4 linked regions of the Drosophila melanogaster genome follow. The protein of the gene in region 3 interacts with the protein of the main gene of each other region in a pairwise test. Each region holds a gene or a part of one and is shown on either strand. Other genes may lie near its edges. The genes, in order: eco, Cfp1, M1BP and CG7386.

Region 1 (6,378 bases), on a different chromosome or scaffold from region 3:
CTCAATGGTCTGGAGGGCAGGGGAAGAAGAGTGAGAAAGCGGTTCAACCACCACGCTGCATGCCACTTGCACCCCGAAACCAATTGCCACCGATTCCAATTTGTCACATTGGGCGTGGCGTCACCAAAGTAAACTAACTAGCAGCACCAGCAGCTCCCCACTTAGCAGCTTATATGCGGATTGCACTTACCATTTGCGCGCGATTGGTGGTCACTGAGATTGGCACAAGTCCCATTCAGGTGTGTTACACACTTCTGCTCTTAAATGTTATTAATTTCAGCCACTTTGCTGCTACGAAAACAACGCCCAAAAGCCAGGCTCAGTGTGCTAGTGATGGCACTTTGTGGACTCGCCGCATGGTTGCAAGCGATCGATAACCATTCATCGATCGCAAGTGCAGGTTGTGTAAATTTTTTACTGCATACATTTAGACATTAAGTTATTTGTTAGAATTTAAATATATTAAACAATGTTTATAAACATACAATTTAAAAATTAACGTATGTGCTATTTTTGTAACACCAAATTTACATGTTTTAAAACCCGACACGTAAGATAAACAATATTAATCTATATTTTCAAAATTAATGCGACTCGAAGAAAATATCGTGTTCATTGCGTAAAAACAGGCATATTAAACCACCATTGTAAACATGTTAAATTGCGCGTCTTCGTGCCGCTAGTAACATAATCGCACTTGCTTATCAACTATTACAGGTTTCGAAGCAATCCTAACTCAAAAACAATCCAGCTATTCAATAGCTTCAATAGATTTCCCCGATCACTGGTCGTAGGTGAGGAAGTTATCCAACCCGGTGAACTGGCGTGCCAGAGCCCGACCATCGTCGGTGGGCGTACTGAAGGCAATGCACTCCCTAGCGATCTCTTGACCGAGCACCGTGTGGCACTGGACGACTCGCAGCAGCTTGCTGGCGATCCCGCTGCGTCGCTGCAGCGGAGAAACCCAGATGCGTGAGACGCCGCAGCTGAAAGAAGGCACATTTTAGCCGTTGACAAGGGAAGGGGCATGCAGTAGGGGATGTCTTACCTGGCCGGGTAGCTTTCCTCGCTGAAGTAGTCCGTGCCATCGACCTGGATGAAACGATGGGCCTGCGAGAGGGGCTGCACCAGGCAGAAGCCTACGATCTGCTGCTTGCGCACTGCTATGAAGGCTACAAAGATCTTTGGCACAATGTACGAGGAATAGCCCAGCTCTTTGTCCACCACACCAATGAGATCCCGCAGTCTGTCGAGCCGAGCTGTCGGAGCGCGTTCGTTGATCCGTATGATGCGCCCGTCGCTGGCCCATTCTGGATAAACGGACACAATGTCCTCGTCGATCCAGCCCTTGAAGCGCAGCACATGGATGGAATTGTGGTACTCGCGATGAAGCAGCTCCTCCTCCGGCTCGTGCACGGTGTACACCAATCCGCACTGCTGGCACTGCCGTGCTCCGAAGGCCTTTTGACCAGCATCGATCTGGTACTGATTCGATCCACCCGCCGCCGTTAGCAATCTCATCGATGTATCCGGCCGACGCCGCAACGATTTCTGGACAACGGGCTGTAAGCGTTGAGTGAATATGGGGAAAAGCTTTGGCTGAACTTCCTCTACTGCTGGCGCATCCTGTTTTGGTGCAATGGCCACCGCTGTATTTTCCACTGTTTCCATCTGAGCAAGCTGCGCAGCCTCCTCGCTGTTCACCACCATGTATAAATTGTCCACAATTTGATTGGCCTCGTCCTTGTAGTCATCCGGATTTGCAATAAATATCTCAAAGTTCTTTTCGGTGCAAATATTGTTGCTAATGAGAAACTCTAGTAAAATTTGCTGTTGCTCCACGACATTGGGATCATCGGTTTGGTATGGCAAACGTTGACGGAACTCAGCAAAGGGATCAATTTCCACATCGTTCGCCTCTGGGGCATACTCAATTATATCCGGTAGCGACTCCGTTTCCATGGTCGTCTCCTCCGCATCAATGGGCGTTGCCTGTACCACCGGATTCGCTTCTACAATCTCATCAACCACCGTATCGTCCAGATTCTTTAGGATCGCATCCACAGTCGCCTGCTCGGCGGAAAATATCGTGGCCGACTTGACGCGCACTTGCCGCGGCTTACGGCGTATCGTTTGGACGAGTTCAATCTTGCCCTGGCTGACGCTGGCCCGGATGTTGTCCGTGATTCTCACCTCCATGCAGGTGCTACTACGGCGGCCCGATTTGAAGAACTTTCGTTTGCTTAGATCGGCTGGCTCGGCGGTTGGGGATTTCTGGACCGGCTCGTGGCGAATTATTGGTATGATAGGCTCCACCTCGATGATGGGATCAATGTCTTCGACATCACTAAGATCGGAGAAATCGGCGGAAGTTTCTTGCCATGCGGTTGCTGGCAGATTGTTATTGTTGTTAGCATCGTCGGCTTCAATCACACTCAATGGTTTGGCCATTTTGATCGGGTCCTTGGCATTACGGAGAATCTGGTGGACTTCCTCCACTTTGGCGCGCTCTTCACGCTTGGTGGTGATCAGGTTCTTGAGCCGTTCGTTGCTCAGCGAGTTGAGAATGTTGTCCATATCGGTGGCTGGCAGTCGGTTGGCAAAACCGTGACGCTTGCGTATTTTGTGGTGAACTCCCTTATTAATGCCCAATAGTGGACGGGAGGTTGGCGAGATTTTCGTTGGTTGTTTAAGCGAATTCTTGGATATGGACGGCCGCCTTCTTGACTTTGTGACCGCTTCTCCACTGTGGGAATAGAAGGCCATGGTGGGAATGCTGCTGCTCAGCGTCACCTTGCGCATCTTGCTCTGCGGCGAACCAGAGTCGGCGTCCGCTGAAGGAGCAACCGGGGTGGACGTTTCTGGGTGCTGTCGCTTTTGAGGCTTATGATTGGATGCTTCTTCGTCCGATTCGGGCACTTCGACATCAATCTTCATACTACTTCCTGGGCTTTCTGGCCTTTTTGCTGTGGCAACTTCGGAAGATTTCGCTGTTTTATTGTTGGTGTTTCCTGTGTTTCGTTTTACTGCATCGTCATTTGACTTGAACACTTCTACCGGGGACTTGGATCTGCTTCTGCTGTTTTCTAGCTTAACTGCTGCTGTTTTTTCTTCATCATACGACCTCATGTTCTCATGTAGATGGGCAGCAGCCTTCAGCGTCTTGCAGTTTATATCCGCCGACGTGAAGGGTCTTCGCCTATTCCTGGTTTTTGGACTGATGATTTGCGAGCTCCTTGTTTCACGAACTTCTGTATTCTTCCTGGAGTTCTTACTGCTAGAAGGTTTCTCGTCGTCCGACTGGGACTCTTCAGCTGGGCTCGTTTTCTTCGGTTTAGTTGTATGCACTTGGGCAGTGGTCTTTAGGCTGTGGTTGTGTTTCTTCTTTGATTTTTCTAACATTGATCTTGAATCCTGACCCTTCATTAGCATAGCTGCCACCTTGCTTAGCCTAGTCTGAAAAGATTCTGGCGAGGAGAACGCATCTGGATCCTTTTGCGCACTGAAGGTTCGTGGACTGCGTCTGATGCTATTTCTGGCTCTGGAAGAAGGAGTTCCTTCAGAGGAAGAGGTGGGCGACGACATTGAAGAATCCGCTCGCTTTCTTTGGACCCTCGTCTGACGGGGGCTGCTGTTGCGACTATTGCTGCTGCTGTTGCTATTTAGCCGCATGGTGGCTGTAAACAATTGGGGCAGCTGCTCCGCCGTGGCAGTCATGACTCCGCCACGGGTTTTTTTGTTCTCCTTGTTGGTTTCCGGGCTGCTGTTCGCACTGCTGCTTGACTTGCCGGGGACTGCGGCGAAGAGACTCCTGCCCTTCCTGTTGGCCGCCACATGGGTCTTTAATGGCAAGACACCCAGACTGTCTACGTCCGCATCATCCTCGTCGTCGTTGATTTGGCGCAGCCTGGATCTGGGACTGCCAAACAGTTGCCGCTTGCGCTCCGAAAGGCGCGGAGTGGCCATGCGACTGGGACGCCCACTACCCGTCGGGGTCTCCATGATCGCGCGCAAATCTTTTATTTCGCATTAACTTTGTCCAAATTGTGACTCCTTCGCGCTTTTTTGTAGCTGCCTAGTGTTGGGGGTGGTTGGATCGTTCAGGGTCTCTTCGGTCGTTTGCCAACACATGCCAGATCGTCTATGTTTTTACTGCAATGTTTATATATATTAAATGCATTACATTGTTTTTAAATTTTTTTTACATCAATGTTTATAAAAATCAAATACATTGCAATGTAAATATTTTCTGTTAGTTATAATTTTTTTACCACATTTTACATTTAACATTTTTCTTCGAAGCGATCAAGTCAGCTTGCAGTTTTTCGTAAATTATTTGGACTTATTCTACGATTTCTGTAAAATAAATAAGTAATGTTAATTATATTCTTGATCCAAGACAAAGTATTCAATATAGTACCACTTAACGAGTTACGATCATGATCGCTAGACATTCTATGTTTTCTAATCTTCATATATTTTAAAGATTTCCGTATTATTTTAACTATCCGGTATTTTTACAGAGCTAAGGTGATCATATAACGGGAAAACTCTATCTGGTATTTCCACCCAAGTCAGACTCAGTCACACTCTTCCAGACGTCACACGGTCATATTGCGGACGAAGTGCGAATCGATTTGGAAAAATCTGCTGCTCGGCCTGGAAAGTAGAAAGTATAAAGCTCTGCGTTTATAATTTAATTTGCAGCCAAAGCCCGCTGCCGATCAGGTAAGTTAGCTCCCCCACATTATCCGTACCGCCATTTGAAAGCCACGCCAACGAGAACCGTGAGAAAATGTGAACTCTAGCCGCCGCCATCTTTTTTTATGTATGCGTTAGGCCACAACGCCAATAATGCGATTTAAAACCGAGTTTATTAAGATTACTCGCGCTCCTTGTGCTGCTGCCTTAATGTTTATCCTTTGCTCGTATTGGTTAAAATAGAAAACAATTGCACTGTCTTCTCTCTTCTCTTGAGGTATCGCGTTTGTTCGTCGCCGTTGTCGTCCTCCAACCGCGGTATATACATACAAACATATAGGCAAATATATATAAATATATTTTCGACGCAGCCGCCGCCGCCGCCGCCGCGTAGATATCCATTTTCCGGGATTACCCCACCCAGAGTGATATAAACGATATAACCGTGGACGACCACGCAGCGGAACCCGCTGCCGCCATGCCCGGAGCCGGCACGTTCAAGTTATTCATCGGGAATCTTGACGAGAAGACACAGGCCACCGAGCTGCGTGCACTGTTCGAGAAGTACGGTACCGTCGTCGAGTGCGACGTGGTGAAGAACTATGGCTTCGTTCACATGGAGACGGAGCAGCAGGGTCGCGATGCCATACAGAATCTGAACGGTTATACGCTGAACGAGTTCGCCATCAAGGTGGAGGCGGCCAAGAGCCGGCGGGCGCCCAATACGCCGACCACGAAAATCTTCGTGGGAAATCTAACGGACAAGACGCGGGCGCCGGAGGTGCGGGAACTGTTTCAGAAATACGGCACCGTCGTCGAATGCGACATTGTGCGCAACTATGGTTTTGTCCATCTGGACTGTGTCGGTGATGTGCAGGACGCCATTAAGGAGCTGAACGGTCGCGTTGTCGATGGCCAGCCGCTCAAGGTTCAAGTGTCGACCAGTCGGGTCCGCCCCAAGCCGGGCATGGGCGATCCGGAGCAGTGCTATCGGTGCGGAAGATCCGGGCATTGGTCGAAAGAGTGTCCGCGACTGTACGGCAGTGCCGGAGGCGGACGCGAGCCGCCATCGCCCCTCAGCGCCGGCGGCTACAGAGATCGCATGTACGGTCGTGACCCGTATCCGCCGCCACCACCGCCGCCGCCGTTCCTGCGTGACCGCATCATGGATGGCTTTAGGGTAAATTCAGCATCCATTTGCCCCCCCGATCAAATCATCCATTGTGCCAAGTATTATTCACATTCTGTGCTGCTACTAATCTAAATCTTGTTTTCCCGCCCGCAGGACTATGACTACTATGACCGCCGCTTCGAGGACTCACGCGATCTGTATGAGCGTCGCTATCAGACCTCGCGAATGCGCGACTTCCCACCGCCGCCCATCTCTCGCCGCGAACCCATGCCTCTACCGCCCACCTTAAGCGGCAGCCTGCGCTCCTGCAGCGTTTCTCGTGGATACGACACTATGTTCAGCCGGCGCTCGCCTCCGCCGCCGCGTAGCAGCAATGGAATGAGTCGCTACGGGTAGGTAACCCTGCAAGTGGATGAAATGTCGCACTTTCTTTTCCAAATATGTGTGTACTAAAGTTAATTCTTATCAGATGACTACGTTTTCCATACTTACTTACATATTAAGACCTAGATAGTGCTTTGCTTATATGATGAAATTATAAAATG
Region 2 (4,784 bases), on a different chromosome or scaffold from region 3:
TTTGAATCAGCAGGTCGTGTGTGATGTAGAAAAGTTCCGGACAACGACTGGCATTTTTGACAGTTCGTCTGGGGGAACAGTCACAAATCGCCACGACTACTTGATTGCCCGGGTAGCCGGATTCGTTCAGACTCGCTTGAAATTTCCACTGCACTTGTGCGTCCTGACATTCCTTTTGGCTCCCAACTACAGCATGCCCACTCTAATCCATAGCCTCCATCGTTTTCAAGGTCCTGCCGTTTCCAATGGTTGCCCCCCGCTCTTCATTTACCCGGAACCATTGTTTCGGATATCAAAACCCGGACTCGGTGGCCTATGTCTATATGATCTTCAAAATATGTTGAGCGTAGAGTATTCTTTTTTTCATGACTTTGTTTAATGCAGTAATATTAACCTGCATTATTAAAAAAAGCCTACAGCTTAAGAAAATGTATTTAATATGCTAACTTATTTTCTAGATTATTTCTAAATACAAACTAACAATGAACAGAAAACAAATCGTATATAGAAATTATAAATAACTTGAATCCAGCTAATAAACTAATATTAAGGTGTGTGCTAATGTAATCCATGTGAATGATATCCACGGTTGAGCTGGCCTAATGTATTAATAGCATGTTGCTATCAATAAATGCATATTTGATGCTTAGTTTTCAATAACAAACATGGGCGTACCGCCGATCCCGGCGCGTAGCAACCTACTACTGGCCGGGAAGCGGACCCAACAGCTGGCGAGCGTGTTATGCGGTTGCCAGGAGAAAGGCGACACTAGAAACTTTGCGTCGGGTAAGTCCAAAGATTACTGTCGTAGAAAAATATTTCTTGGACGTCAGTTTATTGTTAGTTCTTGCTATGATTAGGGGACTACAAATCTATGTTTTTTTCTGCAGGTATATAATTTGAGTTTTCTGTGGTATTTGGGCCTTCTTTTGCTGCTGCTGCAACAGTTGAAGTTGAAGTTGCTGCAGATGATGTGGCTTCAATTGCAGTTGCTGTTGCTCCTGCTGTTGTTGCTGCTGCTGTTGTTGCTGCTGCTGTGGTTGTTGCAGCTGCTGCTGTTGTTGCTGCTGTTGTTGTTGCTGCTGCTGTTGTTGCTGTTGCTGTTGTTGCTGCAACATTAGCTTCTGCTTTTCCTGGTACTGTTTCTGCTGTGTTTGTATTTGTTGCTGGTGAGCCAGGCGTCGCCTCTGCTTCTCGAACTCTACCAGATGCTCCTGCTGTTTGCGCACCAGCTCGTCCATCACCTCGTGGTTGTAGGTGGAGTGCAGCATCAGGCCGAGCAGGTTCGCTCGCGAGGTGAGCTGCTGCCGCATCACGCGCTCCTGCTCCATCAGGTCGTCCATCTTGAGCCATTGACGCACACGCTCCAGATCTATCTCAGCACGCCGGATCTTCTCCCAGGCGTAGTGCTTGAAGCAATTCTTCTTTGGCGCACGACAAAACTCGCCCGTGGGATTGAAGACGTTGTTCACTAAGGGCGAACCACACACATCCGTATCGTTCACCTTCGGATCCTTGCTGTGCTCCGGACACAATACTCTCAATCGCTTACAGTAAGTCTTACTTGCCGGATTGTAGAAATCACAAAACATATTGTTTCCCTCCATTCGCGTTTTGAATATGCTCCCGAAGCTGGCCTGCGATTCGTATTTGTTGAAGCACTTCTCCATATGCTTGATGGCAGTGCGCGAGTGAATCTCGTGGCCACAGGTGATGCAGTACATGCTCTGTTCGTCCTCCATGTCGGCGGTGTCTTGTGACCCCAATGTATCAATGGAGCTTCGTTTGGCTCGCTCCACCACCATGTTGAGCTCTTCGGAGCGCTTCTCTAGCTCGGCAAGTGCGAAACGCACCAGGGACTGCTTATGACGAATGTTATCAAGATGCTTGCGTGTTTCCTCGGCGGCGCGGCTGGGCGTTAGATTCCACTCTTGCAGTCGTTGCGGCAGAACCTGAGAGTGTAAAGGACTTTGGTGTTTAATTGTCATAGTCTGGCCAAAAAATGAAACTAACCTGGAAGATGCGTTTTGTGGCCAGATTGAAGCCACACTTATCGCTGCAGTACTTGCTCTGCGGTCTCGCATGGGAGCAGCAATTGGGTCCGTAGCACTGCCGGATGCCTTGTAGCTCCGGATTGAGGAATATCTCCGGACTGGCCGCCCGCGGGCCCACTTGGACATTGCGACTCTTGGGTGCCGCCTTTTCCCGCTTCCTACTTGGGCCGGCTTGAGTTGCCTGCGACTCCTTTAAGACCGTCGCCGCCTGGACAACGCAGGTGCGGAATATGCAGCGCGGCTTGTGGCCCACGCGAACGCGGCACGCGTCGCACTGGTTGCAATTGGGACGCCGGCATCCCTCACAGGTACCACAACGTTTGCCCATCTTTGGTTCTCGGGCGCTGCTGTTTTTGCGCTTCGCTGCCGCAGTGGTCGGTGGCGGCGCTTGCTGGCTGGTTGTTGCGGACGCCACCGGTGCAGCAGCAGGCGCAGCTCCCGATGGACCTACGCCCGGGGCATTGAGACTTGTAGAGGCGGCGTTCGATGCGGCTGCCCGTTCGGTGGCCACCAGGCGGAATATGGTTTGTAGTTCGGGATTCTCCTTTTTGCAGCGCCGGCAGTAGTACTGTTTGATGTGTTTAGCCTCCTTCTCGGTGATCCCTATACAGTCGCCGTGGTACCACTCCTCGCAACCATCGCAGCCTCTGGAAAGCGAAGGGTACAAGTAGTTAGCCGGGATCTAGCCCTTTAAGGCCATTCAACTCACATCATGAACCTGGAGCAGTCGGAGGAGCGGCATATGCAGTACGCTTGGTCTTCCTGCTTTAGAATGGTGGCTATCTTGGACTTGCGCTCAGGCAAATCAAATTCCCGTGCGATCTCCCGCCTGATTTCCTCTTTCTGTTTGGAAACCTCCTTTGTAGTTAAAAATATGATTGCCGTGCAGCGGGTGAAACTTACGGTCTTCTTATATTTGCGCTTGTCCGTCATCTCGCAGCAATCTTTCCGACAACAAATCCAGTCCAAATCCAAATCCGTCAATTAAGTTTCATGGAATTTTTTTTTGCGATGGAGATGGTGAATGAAAGGATATCGATAGCCTACTAATAATGTATTGCAGACAATCGATAGGTTCTGGCCTAATAAAATATATAATATTTAGCATAAAACTACGTTGTAGATTTTAATTGATGTATGACTATACAATAAAAACAATTTTAGGTATTTATTGTAAGCTGTGTATAAATATAAAATGCTTCGTAACACTTATATCGAGAGAACTAATTCCATAGTCTTAATAACAAACGATAGTGTGTTCGAGATCTATGAGATTAAATAGAGTTCTTGAAAGAGAAACAACGTGAATATAAAACCTACAAAAGATTGTTACTTTATATATACCTAATTTTTATTTTTCGATAATCTTTAAGATTTTGCCGCGGCCCAGTATTTTCGAAGTTTCGTAAAATTAAACATCGATAGAAAAATTAAGCATCGAATTACCACTGACATTGTCGGCTTTTTCTCACCTCTAATAACCGCGCGGTTTTTTCTTTGTATTTCGTTACCATTTTTTCTCAACTGAACTGAATTGAATGTGAATAGTCTGCAATTATGGCGGCCCTGAGCAACCTAAAACAGTGTCCGCCGTTCTCCACGCTGCCGGATCTGGCGCTGCGGCACAATCACATCCCAGAGCTGGAACGCTATCCGCAGATAAACCTGAACAGCGAACTTCTGGCCAATCCGGCTGGTCAGCGGTACTACGGCGGACAGAGCTTCGTATCTGTGAATGAGGGTGTCCTAAAGCGCATAGCTCGCAGCTTCTTTAATGGCGGATTCTGGAAGACGCTGGAGGAGGCACGCAGCCCAGAGACCAGGGAGCAGGCGCCGCTTATTGCCCAGGCGGGTGATTTAATCGCACAATTTCTGGGCCTGGCCACCGGCCTGAGGATCCTCCCGCACACCCAGCAGCTTAGTGCAGAGCGTATTGCTCAGTTCGTGGAGACCAGGTGGGTGGGGCGCAGCCAACTGACCAATAATACCTAAACCTTACTGTCCCATTCATTCAGGGATTGGCTCAACAGCGATGTGCGCTATCTTGCCTGGAATCAGCACTTCTTTTGCTTAGCCGTAGCCGGTGTAGACGATGTGGTGCGCATCTACACAAAGAGTTCCAGTGCGACCACTGCCACTGTTTTAAAGAGTCCATCCCAAACGCAGATCACCTGCATGGCGTGGCGTCCACTCTGCGCTTCCGAGATCGTGATAGGTTGTCGGCAGGGTCTGTGTTTCTGGGAAGTGGACAGCACTTTGCATTTGGGACGCACAAATGCACCCAGCGAGATTTTTAAATAGTCAGTATAGAAAATTTATCGTTAGTTGGTAAATACATAACTTATTTTCCCTTTTAGCCCAAACAATCTGCCAATAACCTCGATGCAGTGGAACAAGGATGGCACCCAGTTGGCCACCGCCTCAATAGGAGATCGTTCCATTATTATCTGGCAGCCGGACACCGGAATGATGCAGCCACTCAAGCGTTTGGGTCCGCCGGGCTCGCTGCTGAAGTGGTCGCCGGATAATGACTGGCTGTTCGCAGCCACCGTGGATCGGGTGTTCCGCGTGTGGAACTGCCACCAGCAATGGACCACCGAGCGATGGGTGTGCGGTCCCGGAGGCTATGTCCAAACAGCCTGTTGGTCGCCCTGCGGTCGCTTCCTGCTCTTCGTCAGCAGTGCCGAACCGATTCTCTACCGCCTGCAGTTCGTGCAACAGAGTCTGCTA
Region 3 (4,107 bases):
CCCTTCATTGAGATCGTCTAATCGCTCGACTTCTATGCTTATTTCTGCCAGATCCAGTTCCAACTCCTCCTGCTCAAGGACACTTTTGGGAGATTCCTGGCAGATTCTAAGGAAGTCTTCATCATCTTGGGAATGGAGCAACTCCCTTTGGACTTCCAAACAGCGTTCCCTAAAGGATATGGCTTGTTGCAAACAAGTTTGGCAGGACGCACATAGTCGATTTGGCAACGTACTACAGTTCTTTAACTGTAAAGAGAAAAAACTTTAGAAAGTTAAAGACACTACGCATTATTATCCTCTCACCACAGCTCCAGTTAGTAGTTTGATGTGTTCCAGCGTAGTTTGATTGCGCTTTTCAAAAATATTCAATGATCTTTCAGCATTCGTGCGCTTGCCGCAAGTGCGACACACTTTTCCTTCCATTTTTGAGCCGATAAAAAAGTTTGAAACGCCAAACTTTTTGTAAACAATGCTATGCTTGTCAATCAGCTGTTCCGTTTGCCATTCGCATGGAAGCAATTTTTACAGATGAAATAAATGCTCATAAGTTGGGATTTGAAGTTTTGATTTATTATTCAATATTAAGTTCTACATATTACAATTGGTTTGTTAATTATTTGCAGAAATGCTCCTTGGCTGTGCGCCATTGTCGGTCTAGCATTGCCTGTAATTGCTATGTATATATTATAAGGACAGCTTTAGATGTGCAGGCTGTCCTCCTCCTCCTCCTTGAGTTCACGTTTCTGCTCCTGCTCCAGGACCTGTTTCATCTCGGCTTTCTCCAGATGCCGCTTGTGTACGCCAGACCGGAAGTGGGTGCTCAGGTGGGTGGGCAGCATAAAGGACTTGTCGCACAGCTCGCACCTTGAGGGGAAGATTCAGTATTAGATGGCATTTCAAACATTTCAGTAACTGTACCAGTATCACTAGTTTCATATTATTATAAGAAATTATTATAAGATAACTAAATATTACTCACGAAATTTGGCAACATAAGTAATATTTAGTTATCTTAACTCTCATAAGGTTTTGGAAAACTCTTGTAATGCCGCATAATATGATCTTAGAATTTCTAAGAAACCTAGTTATTGGGTTTCCCGGTACTGTGTAGCTGTATGACTCAACGTACCTGTAGGCCCGCTCGCCGGAATGTATCAGCATATGGTTCTTAAGGATGTAGCCGGTAGTGAAGGCCTTGCCGCAAGTACCACAGACGTAGGGGCGCTCATTGGTGTGGGTACGCTCATGCTTCACGCGCGTGGTGTAGTCTGTGAAGCAGCGGCCACAGTACTTACATGCAAACGGTCGCTCTCCGGTGTGCTTGCGCATGTGGCGTTTCAGCTCGGAAGTTGTGCAGAAGCGCGACTGACAGAGTCTGAAAATAAATCCATTTAGTCATACTGTATCCAAAAAGGAGTAGAAATGTACTCACTCGCAGCCAAATTGCTTGTCCCCACGATGGCGACGACAGTGAAGTTCAAAGGCCATGCGTCCCTTGATGTGATTGCCGCACTGCTCGCAGATGTATACTCCGCCGGTGCCACGACGACGCGCATCATCCGACCGGACCTTTGGCTTTGGCGGCAGACTACACTTCTTGACGACAATGTTTTCATGCTCGTACTCATCATCCAGCACGTTGTCAAGAACGGCCACCTCATCATCCGAATCGTAGACGTACGCGTCGTTGACGTCGCCCACAATTAGCTCGGTGTCTTCGTCCAGCTCCAACGTTTGCTGCTGCTCTTCGTCTTCGGCCATTATGGAATCATAGTCGGCCTCTTCAATCAAGGAGGCTGCGTCGTCCTCGCCGGCGTGTCCCTCGGCCACCTCGTAGTAGGTATTATCGTACTCTACCTTGGTGTCGTCGATCTCTTCCTTAGGTTCTTCCAATACGATTTCCTGATAAGTGGCATAGACCTCATCATCGTCGGGCGTCTTCACCGTCTGGACAATATCCTCGCCCATGACAGCCGCCCGGTAGAAGGCCGAGATGCCTTGGCGTTGCTCCTCGGTCAATCCCAAGAGTAGCTCACGCTGGGCGGCGATGCAGCGCTCCCTCAGCTTAACGGCGGAGGCCAGTTCCATGCTGCAGCATTCACATATCTGATCCGGCAGGCAACCGTAGTTCTCCAGCTAGATTAAACACCAATAAATTAAGCTATAACTACATAAATTCCATAAAGCCGCAGTGAAAAATTTACCCGAAGGCCTGTGAGCGCCTCAATGTTGTCGATCATCTTTGTGTTGCTCCGCTCGAATAACTTCGGCGACCGCTTGTTGCTTGCATACTTTGCGCATACGCGGCAGGTGCTCTTTAGGTGTTTCAGCGCCGATTTCGACATTTTTCATTCGCAATCCGAAATGAAATCGTTTTTAAGATATTTGTGAACACAAAAAATAAACGCGTCGCTTGTCAACTGCATTTGCCATTCACCCGGTGTTTCGTGTTAATATTTGCCATTCGCCCCGAAATAAACATATTTTCAGTGGCGTAGGCAAAGGGGTTCATATGATGCCAAAATATATATATATCCTCGAAAATGAATTACTTTGTTAACGTTAGTATTATATATTGCTTTGATATTTAACGGATTTGCATATTTATTATACTCCAATAATATCACATATAAATTTGAATTAATTTGTTTTATAATTTTAAATTTATAAAATTATAAATAAAATCTTTTATTTAAATCTTTAAATTAAATCTTTTTTATAAATTAATTTCTATAGAGCTGCAAGCGAAACGAAATATATACAGTAGAACAGGTTCTAAGCTAAAGTCCCTGGAATTAGTACAGTTTCTTTGGTGTATTTCATCCCTGACCGGCTACGTCCATGTCATGTTGGCAAGCAGCTGTCAGGAATGCCGACAACAACAACCACGACGCTATGGCGAACTTGGAATGGTAATTTATTTATTTTCCCCCGAAAATAAACAAATAAGCATTGATAACCATTTCTCCTGACTGCAGGGTGTGCGTGCCGCGATGCTACGAGGTCCGGAAGAATTGCCTGACTGGGCAGGCCACGCTGGAGCATCCCCTAAAGCAGCGGACGGTGACGGTGGGTAAATGGTACAACGCCCTTATCTGTAAGTGATTTTAATGAAAGAACAATCTCCACCAGGTGGTGGACAGCAATCCCTTGAGCCGAGCTCTAGAGGGCACAGATCCGCTCTCGCAGTTTGCACGCCAAGATGATGAGCTCAACGATCCGCTCAGTCAAATGGTCAGCGAATTCGTAAGTAGAGTGGTGCACCGGCAAGGAACATGACTAAGTTTTTCGCACTTGGATGTTCAGGATCTCAAGTCGAAGCGTCGTGAACGGGACCGAACGGAGCCCGAGGACAACACACTGCAGTGGAGCAGCCGACGACTAGGCATCCTCAACCGCTTTACAACCAATGAGAAGCTATCGCTGTCTACCAGCTTTCTGGTGTCATCTGGTAGCCTGGATGGCGGCAACGAAAGCAGTAAGTTCAGTGGTCGGTTGATCTGTGATATATATTAACAACAATCATAGTTAAAGCACAAACGGTGGTGGCCGACAAGACAAAGTTTCGCTTGGAGCAGTTAGACCACTTCGACGATGGCAGCATGCGTCACATGATGGATCTTACTCAGCAGGAGTACATTCAGCGGTTTGAGCAACTCAAGCAGGAGCTGATCCAGTCCTGGCACAACGATCAGCGAGTAAAAGCGTTGAAGATAGCCATACAGTGTGCCAAAATGCTAGCGGACACCACTGTGCTGCAATTCTATCCGAGTCAGTACGTTCTTATCACTGATATACTGGATGTTTTTGGAAAATTGGTATACGAACGACTGCGTGCTAAGGCCTCTGGAGATCCTGCCGCATCGGCGGCCACATTAGAGCGGGAACGGGAAGCTGCCCGGGATACGTGCCAGAATTGGTTTTATAAGATCGCCTCGATTCGTGAGTTACTGCCGCGTTTTTACTTGGAGCTGTCAATATTCAAGTGCTACGAGTTCCTGTCATCATCGCGCGAGGAGTATGAGCGCATTTTGCAACGTTTGACCCATCAACTGAGGGGTATAGCTGATCCTTTGGTATCGAGCTATGCCCGCTGCTACTTGGTGC
Region 4 (4,679 bases), on a different chromosome or scaffold from region 3:
AAGCGCGTGGACATGGACAAGAAACAGGAGGAACTGAACAACATTAAGGCCAAGTACAATCTGAAGACGCCTGAAGCTCCTTAGAACCCACACTTGGTGCGGCAGGCGGTGATGGGGCATAGCCAGACATTGGGCCCCACCAGATGACGCCCCCACTTCCATCGACCATTTTCCATTGTTTAGGGAACTTCTTGCTCTGCTTATGTGTATACCAAATTTTTGCTATCTACTTGTAGATTTTTTTGATCGCATTTTGTATCATTTGAATCTAATCATTATCATCCATCCATCACTCCATCTATCATATAAACGGCCGGATATCGCGGAACGCAGACATTTGCGCCCGGTTCCGACTGTTTGCAATCATTTGACGACATTAAGACACTCTCTCATCAAAATAACAAGCAAGTGAAAGTAAAAATAAAAAAAAATTGAAAAACTAGAATCGTTTGTTTCGATTTATGACCAATTTTTTTTAAAACTAGTTTTAGTCCAAAACCATTTGTAGTTATTCTAAAGTGTGTCATTTGGGTCAAGTTTATTTAACAACTTAGAAATAGGATAACAAGTAATAGTTAAATATTAACCAACAATAAAAATTCCCACTATTATGGGAAGTCTTTTGCCCTATGTAATCGTAAACTATTCTGCGATTAGGGTTCCTCCTTAAGGTCAGGACCAGTTTGGCTAGCTGCCGCTGCCTATTACTTTTCGTATGTGTCTTGCTGCTTCTCCAGTGCCAGTTGGTTCTTCAAATCCTTGAGCTCCTTCTTGGCGACCTTCGCAATTTCCTGCCGTAGTGCCTCAACCTTTTGTTTACGGTCATTTCTCTCCCCCAGAGGCTTCGCCGGCTTTTCGTCATGGACTTTTTGGTGTCGGATGAGCGCCGCTACCTGGCGAAAGCGATTGCCACACGTCTTACACTCGAAGGGCTTTTCGCCAGTGTGTATCCACTCGTGTTGCTTCACGGATTGCGAGTTGGCAAAGCGACGGGAGCAGAAACGGCACTCAAAGTCCTTGACTTTTTCGTGGACGCTCTTGTAGTGGCGCTTCATGTTGCCTATGCTCTTGAATCCCTGACTGCAGCTGGGACACAAGTACATACCCTCCTTTTGCACAAACTGAATCTCGTCTGTGGGATTCACTGCGGTCCCTGCCAATAGGGCCACATCAACTTGCTCTACGCGGCGGGGATTCTTAGGAATGCTGGCTACGGATTCGGCGTAAACCTTCAGCAGCTGATGTGAGTCCACTTGAGTGTCACTGGCATCGCCATTTACTTGCACCTGTTTATAAGTTTCCAGAGCCCTTTCCACGCTCTTCTCATGAATCTTCAGATGATTGTTGAGACTCTCCGAATGCAGGAACTTTTTGTCACAAACCTGCAAGGCGAAAATATATCAGACTTTGGTAACAAGGGTATAATGGTAATTCCCTTACCTTGCATTCGCAGCGCTTCTCACCAGTGTGCGCCATCTCGTGTATTTTGCAGGCGTATGCTTTCCCGAACGTCTTTCCACAGTACTGGCAAGCAAAATTCCGGATTTTCTCATGTACGATCTTAACATGGCTCTCTAGCACCCGCTTCGTGTGGGTGGCATAGTCGCAGATGCGGCACTTAAACTGGTTCCGTTGGGTGTGGATCAGAATGTGCTTACTCCATTCCTGGCGGGTGGTCTTTCGCACTCCGCAGTACTGACACACGTAGTTCTTGATGCCAGCATGCCGGAGAAGATGATTCTTTAGGGCACTATTGATGTAAAAGCCCTTGCCGCAAATGGTACACGGATAGGGAAGCTCTTCGCCCGTGTGCGTGTACATGTGCTTCTTCATAGCCACCGGGCAACGAAACACCACGCCGCATTCCTTGCAAGACTGTTCACCCCGCGGAGCAATAACCCTCGCCTGGTTGTGAACCTTTTTCAAGTGAATGGTCAGCAGCCGGAGACGGGAAAAAACCAATTGACAGCCCTCCACGGTGCAGGGAACCGTATCCTCCTTCTTGGAGTGCGCATAGTCCACGTGCAAACGCAGTGCACCGGCTGTGGTGAAGCCCTTTCGGCAGCTTTCCTCCTGACACTGAAACGGCAACAGGTCATTGTGGTGCTTCATGTGCTCCTCGAACTTTGATTGCTTTTTGAACTTTTGCTGGCAGATGGAACAGCTCATAAGGCGAAACAGTTTACGCTTGTCGTTCGCAATCCGTCGCTGCCCCATGGCCTGCTCATCGTCGCTGTTGAACCCTTCCGACTCCTTTTTCTCCTCCTCCAGTCCGTTGTGCTCTGCACTGGAGAAGTGCTCCTCGCTTTGGTCCCTTGAATGCTCCTCTAGTTCCTTGTCAACTTTTTCCAGCAACTTGAACACATCCTCCTCGTTGTCAATCATCTCTAGTTTGTTATTCAGCAGCGGATCGAAACTGGCCGGCTCCTCTGGCCTTTCAGGTGCCTCAGAATCATCAGCTATAGATTCGAATACACCCATGGGCATATTCCTCTGGCTGGTCATCATTTCCTTTAGACGTTTAATAGATTCTGCGCACAGTTCGCGGAAGTCATGCAGGTCGTTCAGCTTGGTGAAACATTGGGTGCACAGGTTTCTCGGGAAACCGTCGTTTTGATCCGCATCAAACGAAGTGCACGCCCTGAGCTTCTGGAACAGATCTGGAACCACGAAGAGATCGTGTCCAGCACCATGCTTCAGGTGGACAAGGCAGGTGAGACAAAGCGATTGGACGGAGTACTTGAGCTCCATAGTGCCCATTTCCCTCAATTCTCGGGCAGATAACAATCGAAGCTTCTAAACAAATTTGTTCCAGTGTGACAGGCAGTCTGACCGTTTCGCTATGCCATTAACCCATTACGGTGTAGTGGGGTGGCAAGTAAACAGCATACTTGGATTCTTATTTTTATATTAACTTGTTTTAATGTAAGTGCTTTTTAGCAAGACCATGCATGCGTCTAGTTAAAATACATTTATTTATTATTTATTTTTGACTTTATTTCGATACAGAAATCTTGTACGTTCATTTTCGTATCAAATTTTCTTGATGCCCAGTTTGTATATTTTCAAATGTCGTTGCTTATTATTAAAAGCAATTTGTTTTACATGTTTATATATACATACTAATACAAAAAAATTTGTTTTATATTTTTTCTATATATACATACCATTATCTATATATTGTAAGTTCAGTTTCGTTTTTGTTACTATGGTGCTCAGTTTGCAAAATATTTTTAAAAAACCCTGAAATACTATTTGAAGTATACAAGCAATATCTATTTAATTAAATTAGTTGTATATATATATATTTTTTTTTTTTGTATATTGCAACCTAATTAGAATTGCAAATAAGAAGGTAAGAAAAAACATTGATTGTCCAGCCCTGAAACGCAAAACAACTACGCACTCGGACGAGTAACTCGCTGGCAGAAGTACTTGCTTATTGCCCACTCGCCCGATTGCCAGTCGACGAGTATACAATTTTTTCTGTGTCAATATTATTTTATTGCTTACTGACCGGAGAGAGACGCAAAAAGCTATAGAAAACCGCCCCGATCCGCAGTGCCGATTGCGATTGAAAGCAAGATGAACGAGGGCAGGCAGTACTCGATCCACAGCCTGTGCAGGATCTGTCTGAACCACCTGCAGAACGACGCCGCCTACGATTTGTATCTGGTTCCAGGACTTTCGAAGAAGCTATGCTTCTGCACATCCCTGTCCGTGGAGCAAAACGACGGATTCCCGAAGAACCTGTGCACCCTGTGCTACACCAAGCTGAACGAGCTGCACGACTTTCAGAAACAGTGCGTCGATTCCGTGCAAAAGTTCCAGGATCTGGTGGCCAGCAATGTCTTTGCCTGCCAGAGCAGCTTCGACGTCTTCGATCCCAACGTTGCCGTGCAGGACTACCCGGCCGAGGAAGAGGACCACGTCAACTATGACCCGCTGCTGAACCACAAGATGGAGCTAATCGAGAACGAGGAGGATGTCTTCAAGATGCTGGAGCACGTCGACAAGGAGGCCGAGGAGGTGGAGAAGGAGGCCAAGGTGGAGGAGGATGACGGGGGCAACGTTTCCGTCAAGATGTTCGACGACGATTCGTCCATCGAGAGCGGCAATGACAACGACCACGATCTGGACTTCGAGCCAAATAGCAGCGATGATGACATTCCGCTGGCCCAGCGCATGAGGGGACCAGCTACCGGATCAGGACCCCAGCAGGACCGTTTTAGCAACCTAGACAAACCCAAGCCGAGGCCCCGGGGACGGCCCAAAAAGATAAAACCGCCTCCGCCAGAGGAGGAGGAGTTGAGCGACTCATCCTCCGAATCAGATGACTCCGAAGACGGCACATCGCGGGGCGACAAGCCGAAGAGGAAGCGCATTCCCATCGAGGAACGCCACCTGCACCGCATCATCGACTGCCACATTTGCCACCAGAAGTTCAAGAAGGCCATCCGCTACGAGGAGCACATGAAGTACCACAACGACCTGCTGCCCTTCCAATGCAAGGTGGAGACCTGCAAGAAAGGTATAACGCTGGCTTAAGTATAAATATAAGTATCCGATCTCTATGAAATCCCACCTTACAGGTTTCACTACCGCCAATGGGCTGCGCATTCACATCGACCACGCCCACACAGAGCTGTCCGAGGTTCACGCCTGCATCGCCGAGGGCT

Evidence for each region.
Region 1: the proteins of M1BP (region 3) and eco interact in a two-hybrid assay, tested with the Drosophila melanogaster proteins (one large-scale study listed by BioGRID).
Region 2: the proteins of M1BP (region 3) and Cfp1 interact in a two-hybrid assay, tested with the Drosophila melanogaster proteins (one large-scale study listed by BioGRID).
Region 4: the proteins of M1BP (region 3) and CG7386 interact in a two-hybrid assay, tested with the Drosophila melanogaster proteins (one large-scale study listed by BioGRID).

What each region holds. Positions count from the first base shown.
Region 1 is NT_037436.4:7,334,890-7,341,267, forward strand, and holds eco (establishment of cohesion), read right to left. Parts: upstream 4,452-6,378; 5' UTR 4,421-4,451; exon of another isoform or gene 4,377-4,420; intron 4,357-4,376; 5' UTR 4,272-4,356; intron 4,153-4,271; 5' UTR 4,003-4,152; coding exon 1,049-4,002; intron 987-1,048; coding exon 782-986; 3' UTR 553-781; downstream 1-552. Other genes in the region: lark, read left to right, coding at 5,180-5,881, 5,987-6,225. UniProt on the Drosophila melanogaster protein: Acetyltransferase required for the establishment of sister chromatid cohesion and couple the processes of cohesion and DNA replication to ensure that only sister chromatids become paired together.
Region 2 is NC_004354.4:9,269,903-9,274,686, forward strand, and holds Cfp1 (CXXC finger protein 1), read right to left. Parts: upstream 3,059-4,784; 5' UTR 2,988-3,058; coding exon 2,764-2,987; intron 2,702-2,763; coding exon 2,014-2,701; intron 1,953-2,013; coding exon 873-1,952; 3' UTR 532-872; downstream 1-531. Other genes in the region: aladin, read left to right, coding at 3,612-4,009, 4,070-4,354, 4,412-4,784. UniProt on the Drosophila melanogaster protein: Component of the SET1 complex that specifically di- and trimethylates 'Lys-4' of histone H3. Essential for Set1 association with chromatin and trimethylation of histone H3 at 'Lys-4' at transcription puffs.
Region 3 is NT_033777.3:8,729,238-8,733,344, forward strand, and holds M1BP (motif 1 binding protein), read right to left. Parts: upstream 2,462-4,107; 5' UTR 2,346-2,461; coding exon 2,205-2,345; intron 2,137-2,204; coding exon 1,433-2,136; intron 1,376-1,432; coding exon 1,130-1,375; intron 865-1,129; coding exon 699-864; 3' UTR 553-698; downstream 1-552. Other genes in the region: ranshi, read right to left, coding at 1-246, 304-423; CG8202 (uncharacterized protein), read left to right, coding at 2,896-2,912, 2,979-3,069, 3,133-3,246, 3,307-3,478, 3,529-4,107.
Region 4 is NT_037436.4:6,187,886-6,192,564, reverse strand, and holds CG7386 (uncharacterized protein), read right to left. Parts: upstream 2,821-4,679; 5' UTR 2,752-2,820; coding exon 1,441-2,751; intron 1,383-1,440; coding exon 705-1,382; 3' UTR 516-704; downstream 1-515. Other genes in the region: Sf3b6 (splicing factor 3b subunit 6), read left to right, coding at 1-84; D19A, read left to right, coding at 3,586-4,531, 4,593-4,679.